2 linked regions of the Medicago truncatula genome follow. The protein of the gene in region 2 binds, or shares a complex with, the protein of the main gene of each other region. Links are inferred from orthologs where the notes say so. Each region holds a gene or a part of one and is shown on either strand. Other genes may lie near its edges. The genes, in order: trafficking protein particle complex II-specific subunit 120 homolog and trafficking protein particle complex II-specific subunit 130 homolog.

Evidence for each region.
Region 1: trafficking protein particle complex II-specific subunit 130 homolog (region 2) and trafficking protein particle complex II-specific subunit 120 homolog share a complex: the UniProt entries of both Arabidopsis thaliana proteins name them as parts of the multisubunit TRAPP (transport protein particle) II complex. The link is inferred for Medicago truncatula from reciprocal best matches to the Arabidopsis thaliana genes CLUB and TRS120.

The regions. Positions count from the first base shown.
Region 1 is NC_053042.1:2,812,268-2,819,865, forward strand, and holds the start of trafficking protein particle complex II-specific subunit 120 homolog, read right to left. Parts: upstream 3,074-7,598; 5' UTR 2,999-3,073; coding exon 2,588-2,998; intron 1,798-2,587; coding exon 1,591-1,797; intron 1,152-1,590; coding exon 969-1,151; intron 1-968. Other genes in the region: ribosome biogenesis protein BRX1 homolog 2, read left to right, coding at 5,938-6,143, 6,600-6,741, 7,242-7,320, 7,505-7,598. UniProt on the Arabidopsis thaliana protein: Specific subunit of the TRAPP II complex, a highly conserved vesicle tethering complex that is required for the proper transport of proteins in post-Golgi trafficking pathways to the growing cell plate in mitotic active cells.
Region 2 is NC_053043.1:39,890,415-39,897,569, reverse strand, and holds the start of trafficking protein particle complex II-specific subunit 130 homolog, read right to left. Parts: upstream 3,035-7,155; 5' UTR 2,855-3,034; coding exon 2,791-2,854; intron 2,182-2,790; coding exon 1,952-2,181; intron 1,076-1,951; coding exon 894-1,075; intron 1-893. Other genes in the region: uncharacterized protein, read left to right, coding at 6,845-7,155. UniProt on the Arabidopsis thaliana protein: Specific subunit of the TRAPP II complex, a highly conserved vesicle tethering complex that is required for the proper transport of proteins in post-Golgi trafficking pathways to the growing cell plate in mitotic active cells.

The sequences.
Region 1 (7,598 bases), on a different chromosome or scaffold from region 2:
TATCTATACTCCTATGCCATGTGCACTGCCTCTCACTACTCTCAATTTATAGAAATATACTACAATATTTATACTGCAGATACCATGCAATGCCAGAAAACTGTCTATAAATTGAATCAATAACCAAATTATTTATGACATGCAGCATTTCCAAGTCAACTAATTTCCGCCTAAACCTCATGCCCTTGAATTCTTGAGTAAAAACGAAGACAAGATTCATTTGAGAGCCGTATGAACATATCTTCTTTCCCTTCTAAGAACCAGAATCTAGCTTAATTGGAGCACAAATTAGATGATAAAGATTTTAGACATTGGAGCCTTAAATTGTCGATACTCTAGTCTGCTAGTTCATGCTTTCTGAATAAATTATATACAAAGTAAGTAATTGTTCATACGTTGTCTGCAAATAAAAAAACAATTAAGCACTTGAAAAAGCAGTTAACAGTAGACACATAAAAAACCACTACGGCTGCATGTCTCAATCCCTTCCATTTTCAAAATGCAAAACTAATCACCACACAAAAGCAGTGTTTAGTGTTATATTTGGGTAAGGATTTTACAATCGTGGTTTAGAATGAACATAATTTTATAAAACTGATTTAGTCAAATTTGAGTTTGACCAAAGTTTGCAAGCAAGACCAATCTTGATTGTGAGTAACCACACCACAGATCTGGATATTTACTAAAACCACATTTGACAATAGAGGAAAAAAAACTCTCTACCATGAATCCAAACCAAACACACACTTTGGATGCAATCAGAGATAGGGTTCACAAAACCCATAATGAAGAGAATTTTTTATGTACCCTCACATTACTTCACCGGTTCCAATGAAAAACACAACGCATGTGGATTGCCTAGCCATACAGTCCACAATCTTTAATTATTATTTTTTTTTTAAAAAACACTATTCAATTTTAAATCTAACTCAGAATGAAAGCATGAAAAGAAGAGGAAAAAAAAATACCAGCAAGGCACAAACACTGCCCTCCAATGCACCAGCATACCAGAAGTAATCCCCAGTCAACCTGCCAAGTTCTAATGCAGTAGAATAATGAAGATTAGCATCAACAGGAGAACCTGCCAGCAAGCAGTAATCACCAATCGTCTTCTGAGCACGCCCAAGTCTCCGTTTTTTGGCCTTGATAACCTGCATTCCACACAAACACACAAAAGATCAATCAAATTGAACTTCACAACAAGGCCTGTTTGACTTGGCTTATTTGAGCTGAACATATCAACATAAGAATTTGAGAGACTGTTTGGAACAACTTATAAAAAACACCTTATGGCATGTCCATAATTTGTTTTAAGCTTATTTTTAGAAGCTCTTCAAAATGGCTTATGAAAACAGCTTATATTAAAACAATTTGAAATTATTTTATCTTCTGTTATGGAAATAGCTTATGCATAAGTACGTAGATGATAAGCTATTATACTATCAGCTCTTAATTGAGCTGTTTATCCAAACAGAGCCAAGAACACAAAACCAAAAATCAAAATCCACATTATAACACATAACACCGCCAAGATATAAAAATAAAAACAACAATAATAATCATGATTCATGACACCTAAAACATGAACACCTCCTCTGAGCTGAGACTAGCTTGAGAATCCAAAGGTGTCTTGAGAATAGTTCCAGAAGATTCTGCTTGAAGTACCCACTTCTCAAACTCCATTAGCAACGAAGCAGCTACTTCTTGCATCATAGTATTCAAATGAAACTCTAACGTTGCACGATCCGCAGGTGGAAACAACCTCAAATTTCCACCTCTCTTACTTCCATCCTCAAGCTACAACAAAAAACAAAACAATAAATAAACAAAACCTACAAGGATCTGCTTGACAAGCACAATAAGCTAGCTTACAATTTAAAGCTTATAAGCTCATATGACTAAAAAAGACTCATTTGGTAACCGTCTTTTTTTCATGAGCTTATAACTTATTTTTACTAGCTTATAAGCTCACATAACTAAAATACACCCATTTGGTAATCTTCATCTTCTCGGCAGCTTATAGCTTTTTTTGTCAAGCTTACTCAAGTAGCTTAAAGCTTAAAACCTATGACTTATCATTTTTCGCTCGGTTTTACATCTGCCACCTTAATTAAAAGAAATTAATATAAATTAAAGATATATATTTTATGTCATTTCATGTTTATAAGTCAATTCGATCGCTAATTTTACCTAACATTACATATTCAATCAGCTATCATATTCGCTAGGATCGAGCATACCCTCAATAAGGGAAACACCACATTCACATAGTTAGTGTGCCCAGTAGCTGTCTTACTCGATCGAATGGCCCAGATTCAAGTTCGGAATTTTTAAATTTATAAAATAAAAATTAAATCTGCATTTTTCTATCAGCAATCAGCTAGCTTATCAGTAAAGTCGTCACTTATTTGCTATTGTTTACCAAAGTGAGCCTAATAAAGTTTCTAATTATAACAATTTCTAACGGAAATTTCTAAAAATAAAAAATTAAATAAGAATTATAAGAAATATTTCCTTTTATGGATCCATTTCTTAGGGAAATTAATCACCAAAAAAAAGTTGAAATGCAAATAAAAAATGTGACTACCTGAGAATCATTAGGGTAAAACGCAAAGCAACGATCAACAAGCGAAGAAGGATAAGATTTACACGAACTGGCAAACTGATCAACAACATCATTAAGATCCAACGAAGAAGGACAATGAACAATGCCAACAACAGCAAGAGTTTTCCGATGCGATTGAAAATCTTCCCAGGGACTAGGAGTAGCGCCGCCAAGTACGAATTTGAAGCGAAGAGAACCGGAATCCCAAGGTTGATGAGCGAAAGGGGATTTCTGGTGTTCGGTGTAGAAAGAGCTGATGGCGGAGAGAGGGATGGTGTGGAGTGGGAGGAGGAGGGAGTAATAGTCGCGGAGGAGTGGTGGTGGGATTTGTCCTATTGGGATTACGGCGATTTGGATTGTTGAAGAGCCTTCTATGCTTACTTCTGGTTCCATTCTGCGTGATCGCCGGAGTGGTTAGTTACTTTGGTCTTTCTTACTGCACTCGCACTCACCGGCATATACAAACTAGATCTCCTTTTTTTTTTTTTTACAAAATAAAATATTCATTTATTCACGTTCATAAAATACGTCAAAACAAAAATGAGTTTCACCAAATAACGAATTGTTTGACGATTCACAACAATTCACGTGCCACAGTATTTTCAAAGATACACTCCAAACTTGAGAACTAAAATCGTGCCACGATCTTGAGGCCTTGTGCCGCAATTTTGCTTAAACATAAACATCAAATTTTGAGTCAAAACTCGATAATTATCCAATTGACCTAAAGTTATAGTTATGTCAATTTAACTATTAACCAACTTGCTCTTTAACCTTGCGTTGAATGATATTCGAGACAAAAGCAATAAAGTCTAAATCCTCGTTTGAACCTTGATTCACACGTGGACTTTCACGTGCATACAACCACTCTTGGTTGTTCGACAAACTCCCAAGTTTGATTTTTCTCCTTGCATCTAACTACACTTTATAGTCCCACAAGTTTCCACCTTTACCTCATATTGTATTTCGCACTCTCAGAGATTCTTGCATCCAACTACACTAGAAATTTTAGGCAGTTCCACATGTTTACACCATAACCTCTTCAGCTCTCCTGTGTGATCAATTCCGTCATCTTGAAGAATTTCATTGCTCGCAATTAGAGCATAACACAAAAGTCTTCTTAGTTGTAACATTCCACTGTTATCAGCTCCACCTTAAGCTGAGATTTTTTTATCTTAACTTTCAAATGAGTACTTCCACTATGTCTTTCACCTCGCAAATCCACCTCTAAAGTTGAACACGAGCACTACTACCTCCGCCTCTCTAGACGGAACATGACCTTTGGAAACAAACATTACCGCCATGACATCACCGTCATGACATCCTATCTTCCACTTAAGTACTTAACCTTCTTTGATTGTGCTAGGTTGACCGACAACACCGCCTTACCTTTAAATGCCTCCATACACTTTCGTTGATCCATGTTTGTCTCCACCTTCAAGATGTAATCTTTGGTGATCATATTGATCACTTGACAAACTTATCCCCTTACCCTGCAGTGGGCGCCAATTATTGTGAATTTGGTAGCTTCAAATCTCACATCACTACCCACTTCAACTCTTTAAAATGTTAACGGATAACGAACGTGAAAATTTACAAACTAAAATAATTATAGAATGATGTATTTGACAAAATAATACGAGAGATAAATTATTTCATATTTATTGTACAAATTTACGAGGAATCAATTTTATGTTACTCTTTAATCAAATGTCCAACCATATGTGTTCCTTTAAATTTTAAAAACCCGCAAAGTATTTTAAAATTTTAAAAATACTGAATCTATTGAAATCCATGAGTAATTTTTTATTTTACAATTCCAATGTTATTCGATGTACTCTTTTAATTGTTTAATTTTCTAGGAAAAAATCGTGTTTTAATATTTTTTTTTTCTCATTCAAATGAAAAAAAAATCGACCTTGTTTCTCCTTTAAAACGACTAGAACAAAGATAATTACTATTCATACCTCAATAAAATATTTTTAAAATGAAATAAAATTTTCAATGTAATCAAAATCTTGCACTTGTTCCTCACGTTTTGGGTACATCTCAAATCATTTCAGCGCTCACAAACTTAATTGACGTAACTTATGTAAACCGAGTTTACTTAGTACTTATGTATTTTTTGTGTGTAAATTGAGTTTACGTGACATTTTTTACCGTTAAATGATGAAATATTAATTGTTATGTAATATTTTTCTCCTGGTTAAAATTTAAACCCTTAATCTTTAATTCATAAATAAAACATTTTGAAATCCAAAAATTTATGTTATTAATCCACCATTCAAATACAAACTAAAAAACCTTGATTGTTAAAGAATTTTTAAAGAAACCTTAAAAGTCAATAAAATCCAACATAATAAATTATCCAACAAATTTAATGCATATAAATAAAAATCAAATATAAATTTTGTAAAAAGTAAAACAAATTATCAAAAGAAAAAAATATCATAATGATTTACCACAAAAAATATGATATTCAAACCTTCAAAATTCTAGAAGAAAAAAAACTAGAAGTGGGCTTTCATAATAGGTCTAAAACCCTTTCCTTTCGTTTTTCACAGCCACCAAAACCTCCATCCATAGCCGGCGATTATCCACCTTCACCTCCTTCCTCTGCAATCACCTAGGTACCTTCCTTCTCTCTATATCCGTTTTCTCTCTTATTTCGTTTAATTGTCATCGTGCATGCTTTTATTGTTCTGCTTCCACCATTATTACTGTATGTATGTATCTGTTTTTGTTATCTTAACTGAAGAAATCAAATGGGTCACTGTCAAAATATTATTTTGAACCAAAATGGCAAATGGGTCATTGACAAAATTTCATTTTGTAGTAAAATGGATCATGTATTATTAGTTTTAATATAAGATAGGACCCCATTTGGATAAACAGCTTATTTGCAGCTACGTGTAAGCTATTTCTATGGAAAATGATGAGATTAAGTTAATTGTCTTTGTATAAGCTATAAGCTGTTTTAATAAGTTAACTTGGAGAACTTATGAAAATAAGCTGAAAACGGCTTATGAATACGTCATAAGTTGGTTTCATAAGTTCTCCTAAACAGTCTCACAAAACTTATGCAAATAGATAAGCTAAAATAAGCCAATCCAAATGGCCCAAAGTTTAATTTTTATTCACTGTTTTGTACTGTTACTATCTCAAACAACCAATAATGTTTGTGACTTTTGAAGTGATTATGATAAACATCAAACTTTTGGAATGTTCTATCAGCTACGATTGATTGACAATGTAACAACTTTTTACACTAACGGCGTATATGAATTAAATGATTTAATTTATATTATGTGATTGATTTGTAGCCAAATAACATGGGGAAGAGAAAGCGAAGTGAAAAGGCTGAAGCTGTGGCTGTGCCCAAAAAGGAAGATGTTGCTCCAGAGAGACCAGTGAGGACCCTTTTGGGATGGAAGGATAAGAATGAGAATGAAGCTGAGGTTAAGGACAACGGTGCTTCACCTGTATTCAGGAACAAAGAGAAAGTTTTGGTTACTTGCTCTAGGCGTATTGTTTACAGGTGTAAATCTCAAAACCCAAATATATTTTGCTGTTATCACGCAGTTTGTGCTTGTTTTGATTTCGGATTTGTTTATTTTGGGTATGTTTGGCTAACAACTTAGTTAAGTTATTATGCTGTAAGGGTTTATCTTGTAAGTGCTTATTTATAAGTTATTTCTGCAACAAAAATTAAATTAATGTCAAATGGTTTTGATGTAAGTTATAAGTTGTATTCATAAACTATCTTGAAGAGCTTATGGAAGATGCTGAAAACAGTTTGTGGACATTTCATATGTTGTTTCTAGAAGTTGTCCCAAACAGTCTCACAAGTGTTTATCCCAATTTCCAGTAGATAAATTTAAATAATGCAATCCAAACAAGTCCTTTGTGTGTGAAATTAAGCACAAAAAAACTTCTTCCTTTTATTGTGGGTTACTAGTTTTTTAATATGGTATTGATCATAAACTTATTATAGGTACCGACATTTGATGTTGAACTTGGTATCACTTCTACCTCATTGCAAAAAGGATAACAAGGTTGAATCGAAAGAAACTAAAGGCGCCACCTTGAACGAGCTTGTTGAGCTCAAAAACTGTTCTTCATGTTTATTTTTTGAGGTATTATTTATTTTTTATTTTTTATGACATTAAGGTTTTTCAATGAAAACTATGCATTATGTTTATGAGCTATGCTATGTTGTTGTTGAGTTAGAAAATTCACTGTTTGTTGGTGTCAAGAATTATTCCATTTTGTTACAAATGTTGATGTCTATGTTGATATTTAGATGTAATGTAATATGTTGTTGTTGGTTAGTTTCGAATTGATATAATCTATTTCCTTTATGTGATGGATTACACATCTGATTATTGTGTCTTATAGATTTTTGTTTTATCCATTAAGAATTTTAAAGTGTAGAGAATTTCACTCTTTTCTTTCCCCTCCCAAATTGGCTTTCTCTGTATTTACAAAGTTTACTTGTTTTAAATCTGTCGACTGAGACAACATTTTCCATTTAATCTCGAGTTTGAGTTACCATTCTTAATCTCGAGCAAGTCTAGTCTATTTGTAACATTTGGATAACTATCTTATATCTACCTTCTGTGTATGTGAAATTCAGTGCAGGAAGGCAAAAGATCTTTATCTCTGGATGGCAAAATGCCCCAACGGCCCGTCTGTTAAATTTTTAGTTAGTGCCAGTAATATTCTCATCTGTTTGTTATCTTAAGTTTACTACATAAACCAATTTCCTTGCTATGATTATATAGTATTCTGGGATCAGTAATCCAGTTCTTCATTCTTCTTTTTGAATTATGATTGTCTCTCTTTCTTTCTCTCTGAGGCCATTTTACTAGTTTCTCTTTTACCTTCACTGATTTCCAGTGCACACAATGGAGGAATTGAAGCTTACTGGGAATCACCTAAAAGGCTCCCGCCCTCTTTTGACGTTTTCATCAAATTTTGAAAAAGATGCATA
Region 2 (7,155 bases):
TCAAATTCTCAACCATTCACATGAATTATTAACAGTTGAAGGGTTGATCCAACAATATCTATCTGACAGTCCTTCATGTTAAGCGAAGGACACAATAATGGAAGAATGGTCCACAGAAAGCAACACTAAGACCAACCCATAAAACTAAACTTACAGTCTTCATTGCAGATTATTCTGCACGTGTGTGTGGTCTCTGTTTTGTTAATGTACTTTGGCACCAGTTAGCTGTTAGAGCTAGTTAGACATGTGTACCAGTCTCTGTTTTGTTGATATATTTCTGCAAGTGATATAATTGTGATAGAGCTGTTGCAGTTAGCTTTAATCTGTTACAGACTGTCAGTTACAGCTCTGTTAGAGCAGAATTAACAGAGACTGGTACATGAGGTTAATAGATCACTTTCTCATAGTTCATATAACTTTCGTCCATGAGGTGTCAGCTTTGTGGTAAGATATTGACCTTATAGCCTCAACGACGGAGTTCAAATCCCATGTTGAAAAGCTGTAAAATGGCCAATAATGCCACTTTAATTAATGATAATTTGCCCTTCTCCAAAATAAAATTATAAAAAATATCACTTTCTCAGAGATTATCTCGGGTTTTTCTCTCCTAATATTTTTTGTAAATTATATTCAATTTTCAAGAAACCACTTTCAATTAACTATTGCCACATCAAGTCACAATATTGAGAACAGTGTGCAATTAAATGATTTATTTTTTATTTTTTTTGACAAAAGTGTGCAACTAAATGATTGTTAAGATTGTTATACAATGCTGTATTCTTGTTCAAAAGAAAAATACATTGACTGTATTCTGTAATGTCTAAAATAAACTTGAGTCGAGAAAAACATTTGGATAAATTGTCAACCAACAAGTCATTCCCTTGCAAGTTTACCTTTCTCTTTTTCTGGAGCTAAACTCAACTTCAAGTTTAGCATATACTTTCTTTGCCATTTTGTTTGCCTGATCATTAGCTGGATGAGCTTTAGATACAAATACAATAAACCATTCCCTTTCATCATTCTGGACAATTAATTTCAGGCGTGGTTTAAGGATGCTTTTAAACTCATCAAGATCCTGGTAAGAGAAAATAAGAGTTACACTACATAATAAATTCTGCAACAGAAACAATGAAAAGTTTATGAACCAAAATTTATTGAATGAAACAATTTTAAATTGAATAGTTGATAATTTAGATTATTTCCTGAATGGTCTAAAGTTCAGCATAGAACTATGACCAGAAATATGACAATTGACAGTAATTATCATGTCTGTAAATACTGCAAAATTGAGGTTTCCCCTTATATATGAATGCCCCCACCCCCACCCACCCACACACCTTAAAGCTCTTCATATTTAAAGCTTGGACAAAGCATAACACCCTATCCCATTACCTTGTGCTGAACACGCTAAGCAAGAAACGGGACTTCCTTAAAGTTGAAAGGCTCGGCCCTAGCCCAAGAATGTGTAGGTAATAGAGATACTAATAAACTGGGCGAAGATCTTTTCAAATTCTATCTATCAAAATGCAATTAAATGATGTTATGAAATGTAGTAATGTACTGCAATGCAATTACACTTAATTCATCAACACCATGAAATTCATTCTTTCCGCTTTGCATGTTATTTATTTGAATCTAACTCCACTGAAGTTAGCTTAGCTATCACTTTAAAGGGTGAATCCAAGGAATCTCAACCGTTGATGACAAAATCAACGGTTCAAATTTTTAATACATCTATGATTTGTTATGTATATTGGTATATCCATGATTTTCACATCAATGGTTGAGTTTTTTTTTACTTTACCTACCGAAATGAATTACATTGTAGCAGAAAGCTATAAACTGTGTCAAAAGTCATAGTGGATCTCCCTAATCTAACCTTGGAAGTCATCAAAACATTACAACTTTCAGCAAGAATCCAAAAAAAGTAATCAACAGGAATACGCATTACCTCACAGGTAACAAGCACAACAGTTGCATACGGCTCTCGAAACCAGAACAACAACTGCTCCTGAGGAAACCGACTACGGAGCCTTGAATCTGTAGTTAATATGAACTCTGCCGGCAACTTGTCAACCAAAACAGGGTTCCTCGTCTTGTTATTCAAACTCGCCCTTTTAAACGGCAACCGCGCTTCAAAAGCAGGTTTTACAGTCGGCCACAAGTCACTCACGTCCTCCACTGATAATCATTTCCATCAAGCATCAATAAAATAACAGAGACACACTCACAAAAACACACACACAAACACATCTAAATCACCGACAATTATAGTAGCATATGTAATACTGACACTTCAGATTGAAAACGTGTCCAACAAATGTTGGTGTTCAACACCTACACTACACTGATACATTTAGTTACTTTCAATCACTTCAATTCCTAAATTATCATGTGGCAGTGTTGCATCCGTCCATGTATGCGACAATGCTTCGTGTAGTTAACCAAATTCATTCAGTAAAACAGTGATTGCCTTCAATTAATCCATTTTATCGAATTATTACCAGTGTTCATGTTACATAATTAAAAGAATACGCTATCTCGATTTCCAAGCATTTGATGAACAAAAATACATTGAAATTCTAGCATTACTCAGTATAACAGTTGAAATGATTATACATATTATCTATCACATAGCAAGAAGAATATATAAAAGTATAATTGAATTAAACTAAAAGCCCTAAATAACATACATAAATTGGTAATCGAGAGATAGATAGATCGTAAAGGAGAGGAAATGAAGATTTGTATGATCGGGAAAAGGAATGTGATGAGATCTTTGAGTAGTACCTGAAATGACGAGGCGATCGGAAGAGTTTTTAATGGTTTGGAACTGAGCGAGGAAGTTAGCCATGTTGGATCTGAAGAGTATCTAGATCCAACATGTGCAGTGAAGTGAGAGTTAGTTGAGAAAAAGAAGATGTTACTTCCCGCAGATCCAGTTAGTGTTTCGCGGTGTATGTAATGTATCACACTCACTCCACGATCCAACGCTACTTCGTTTCATAACTCTCTCTTGCCGTAGCCGTCAATATCATGGAGCTTTCTTTTTTTTTACTTTTCACTATGGTTATAAAGTCCTTTAAAATGGATTAAACCAGTAATCATTTTGTCTACGAAACATTTTTTCAATCAAATGGTTAATGAGCTTCGTCAAAAAACAATTAGTTAAGAAAAAAAAAATCGAGTTTAATTTGGTTAATTATACTTACCTAATAATTGAACTTTATTATTATGGTTCTCTTCTGCTGAGAATCAGAAGGTTAACACCAAAAAAATATATACTATAGTTATAGTTTTAAAACTATCAAAATTATAAAAACATCACTATGTATGTCTTATGTTAATAATATATTAACGTGACGATACTCGCTCATAACAATATTATAGTGTCTTTTATCAGTCATTTCATAGGCTTTTAGATGGGTTTATTTTAGTTGAGTTTTATAATAATTGAAGAAATGATCATGAAAGGAGAAAAGTGCAAAGAAGACCTTGAAACTAGCTCAAATTCACCCTAACCATACAACTTTATGATCTTATAATGTTTTTTACGGTGATGAAAAGTGGACAAGGAATGAAGAAAGACATAAGAACTAAGTGCTATTAAATATGTGATATTGCATGAGGAAGAGGAAGTCAACGCGTTGCACAAAGAGGCATACATAGGCCCGTTTTTGAATCACTGAGATTCGAAAATTTATAAAAGGCATCAAGTAACACTTCCAAAGGGGTCGATTTTGGATTTCTTGAAGGTTGGAGCATATTGAATATACCGGGAACAAGACTTCATCTTTTGGATCATCACTTATTCCTGTATTGTTCTTCGTAGACTCACGGTCTATGTTTAGATTTATCATGAGTGGTTAATTCATAGATTAGGCCAAGAGGGCATCTTTGTTGTAGTTGCTTGAACCATGTAATCCTTTAGGACCTTTTTTTGCAATTACAATGATTAGTTTTTATTTAGTTAATATTTATTTTTAATTTTTTTTTTTTTTTTATGTATACGGATATTTATGAATTGATCTAAATGCCCTATTATGTTTAGATAAACGGCTTATTTTATTCTTAGAATATATGAATGTTTTGAGAGGTTACAATACGTATCAGGTGTGAAATCATGTATCAACCGTAAAATCATGTTATGTTTCATAAAGTTTAGCACAATCTTAGGGGGGGGTTCTTAAGACTTATCCTCAAATTGTTTATATATCTCAAAAATAAATAAATAAATGTTAATCTAAATGTACATGTATGCCATCATCGAAAATAGGGGGAGATTTTTACTGAGTCACAAATCCTCGTGAAGCTCATACTTTGATGAATAATGTTTTTAATTTTTGAAGAAGATTTTCCTCTGAACCATCAAATTCAAATGAAGATAAAAATTGGCAAAAGATATGTGAGATGTGAGGTATCAAGCTAAACTATAGCTGTCAAATGGGCTTATTTGATGCGGAAACAAGGTGATTTCCTTGTATGGCACCTGAGACATAATATTGTGTTGCGTAATGTTTTGAGATTAGGTCGGCATCTCAAACACACTCGCTTATGTTCCCGTTATTAAGTATGTTTGCTCCTTTTTGAATGGGTTTTATTGTTCTACAATCCATGGAAGGTTGGGCCTTTTAAACATATACCATTATGGTAAGAAGTGAATGAATCTTGATTTTCCTTTATTGTTTAGACGATCCATGGAGTTGTTAGGCCGAGCTCTTAGACACATACCGTTAACGAATTTTGATTTTGCTCGATTGTTAGACGATTCATGGAATAGTTCGACTGAGCCTTTTAATCACCTACCATTATAGGTAAGAAGTGAATGAATCCTGGTTTCCTTCAAGTTGGCTATAGGTGGGGAACTAAACTAACGTTCTAATGGTATTGTCGTCGACAATTTATTTGGAGGATTAACACCATTATCCTCTACAATGCTCATCATGTTCCCCTCCCTCGACCGAGTAACCTCGGGCGTGGTCTTATTATACTCACAAATGGGCCTACGGGTATACTACGTTAAGTCGAGTATGTGATTTATAGATATACATGTTTTAAACACATTCTATAGTTTTTTTAGAGACATATTTTATGCTGTTGATAAATACGTTATTTATAAAATGAAAATTTTTGAAAAATTATTTTTGAGAAATTTCCATTGAACTTCGTTATGACAGCAACAAAATCTTATACTGTCTTCTTTTTAACAAATATATAAGATTCTTTAAAGAACCCAAAAAAATAATAAGATTCTTAAAAGAGGACATAAATATTTGTGGTAGAGTATCTTCTCAGGCAATTTTAGCAGACTTTATCTACATGTATTAATTTTAATTTTAATTTTTATGATACCCAACTGATCTACATGTTTCATGTGGACACCATTTATCTTCGTCCATGTTCTCCATGTACGGCGTCTCACCGTATCAAGCTACACCTCTCCCACACAACAACCAATCGCATCATTAGTCAAACCCAAAATTAGAGGTGTTTGGATTGACATTAGACAAAACTGTCAAAATATCATCATATTTAAAGATAAAAAAAATTATAGAGAAATAATATTTGAACATTCGTTTTGTGATAACTATATTTCTCATATTCACATTATTTTTTTATTTTATCTCTTTATTGCTTTGAGTTTCGTGCAAATATCTATATTTTCTTTGTAAACTATGGTTGTCGTATAAGTTGTTAGTCAAATGGTTGTTCAAATAACACTAATCAAAATCATACGTGGTTTATTTTGATTTGTTTGGATGCTTCTTTAAAAAATTTCATCCGATCCAATTTTATATAGTTTTCTTTTACATACGGTTTAATCTAAATCAATATTTTTAACATCATAATTACATAATTGTAATTTTTTATTAATTAATATAAATTATAAATATATGATAAATTTAACATGTACGGTAATATATTATTAACAATTAACACGGTGGAATAATAATGTGAAAATTTTCTCTATTTTTTCCGATATTTTCTTAATCTATGTTGCTATAATGTTTTTTAAATTAAAAATATATAATTCATAAATGTTAATTTATCATGTTTTTTTTCAAAAAATATGAAAGATTTCTCTATTATTTTCAATATTTCCCACCTCTTAAACCCTCTTTTCCTCCTCTCTAAACTCCAAAATAAAGCCTTAAAAAAACCTAAAAAATAGTAGATTACTCCCCTAAAAAATACTAGATTTTTTTTTTGTCTGAAGTGATGAACTATACATAAAACTCACAATTACCACAAATGTGAGATTAAATATATCATACTAATAAAATATAAATGAGTTTTTTTTTTTTTAAAGGGAAAATATAAATGAGTCTTAAAATATGTATATTTGGTTTAATCCAGCTTTAAAAATAGTCTAGACTTCAATCTAATCCGAACAATTTTTACAAAAGAAAAATTTAAACATATTCCGTGAAAATAATTATTGAACATACTTTATTTATTTTATTTACTTTTTGATCAAACGTTGAATTGTTAGAATCATTTCCTCTAAAAATGTAAGAATTAAAAAAAAAAAAAAACTCAATTTTTGCTGTTTATCAGTTTTTTTAGATGATTTGACGTTTTAATCTGATTAAATTTTTTTGCATGCTATATTTCTATTTTTATCTCCTTCTCCTTTAACGTAGATTAGTTAAAACTTTAAAATATGATCGCCCGGTATACTGCTACATCTATCTCTCTGGAGCCACACAAAAAGTCATAGGATGCGAGACACAAGATCACGAAACCGCTATAAACTAACGAACGCGTTTCTATGTAAGCTCACCCAACTCAAAGAAGACGAAACTCAGTGACTCGGGAAGCTAGAACTCACCAACTCACTTCAATGGCTTCCGTTCACAGCACAGTACCTCACCACACTTTCCTCCCTTCAATTTCCAAACCAAAATCAAAATCAAAATCCATTTCCAAGCCACAAAACTTTCCAGCATCAAGATTCTCCACTAATCCAAATTTCACAAAACGTGCAGTTGTAGCGACGAAAGTATCGACGGAGGAGTTCGACGTAATTGCAGTACAAAGCAACGATATTACAGACCAACAAGAAGGTTTGATAGTGAGCCGTGTGGAAATGGAAGGTGGAGATGGTGAATTAGGGACGACGATGACGACGCAAGTGAATGGATTTGGAGCGAA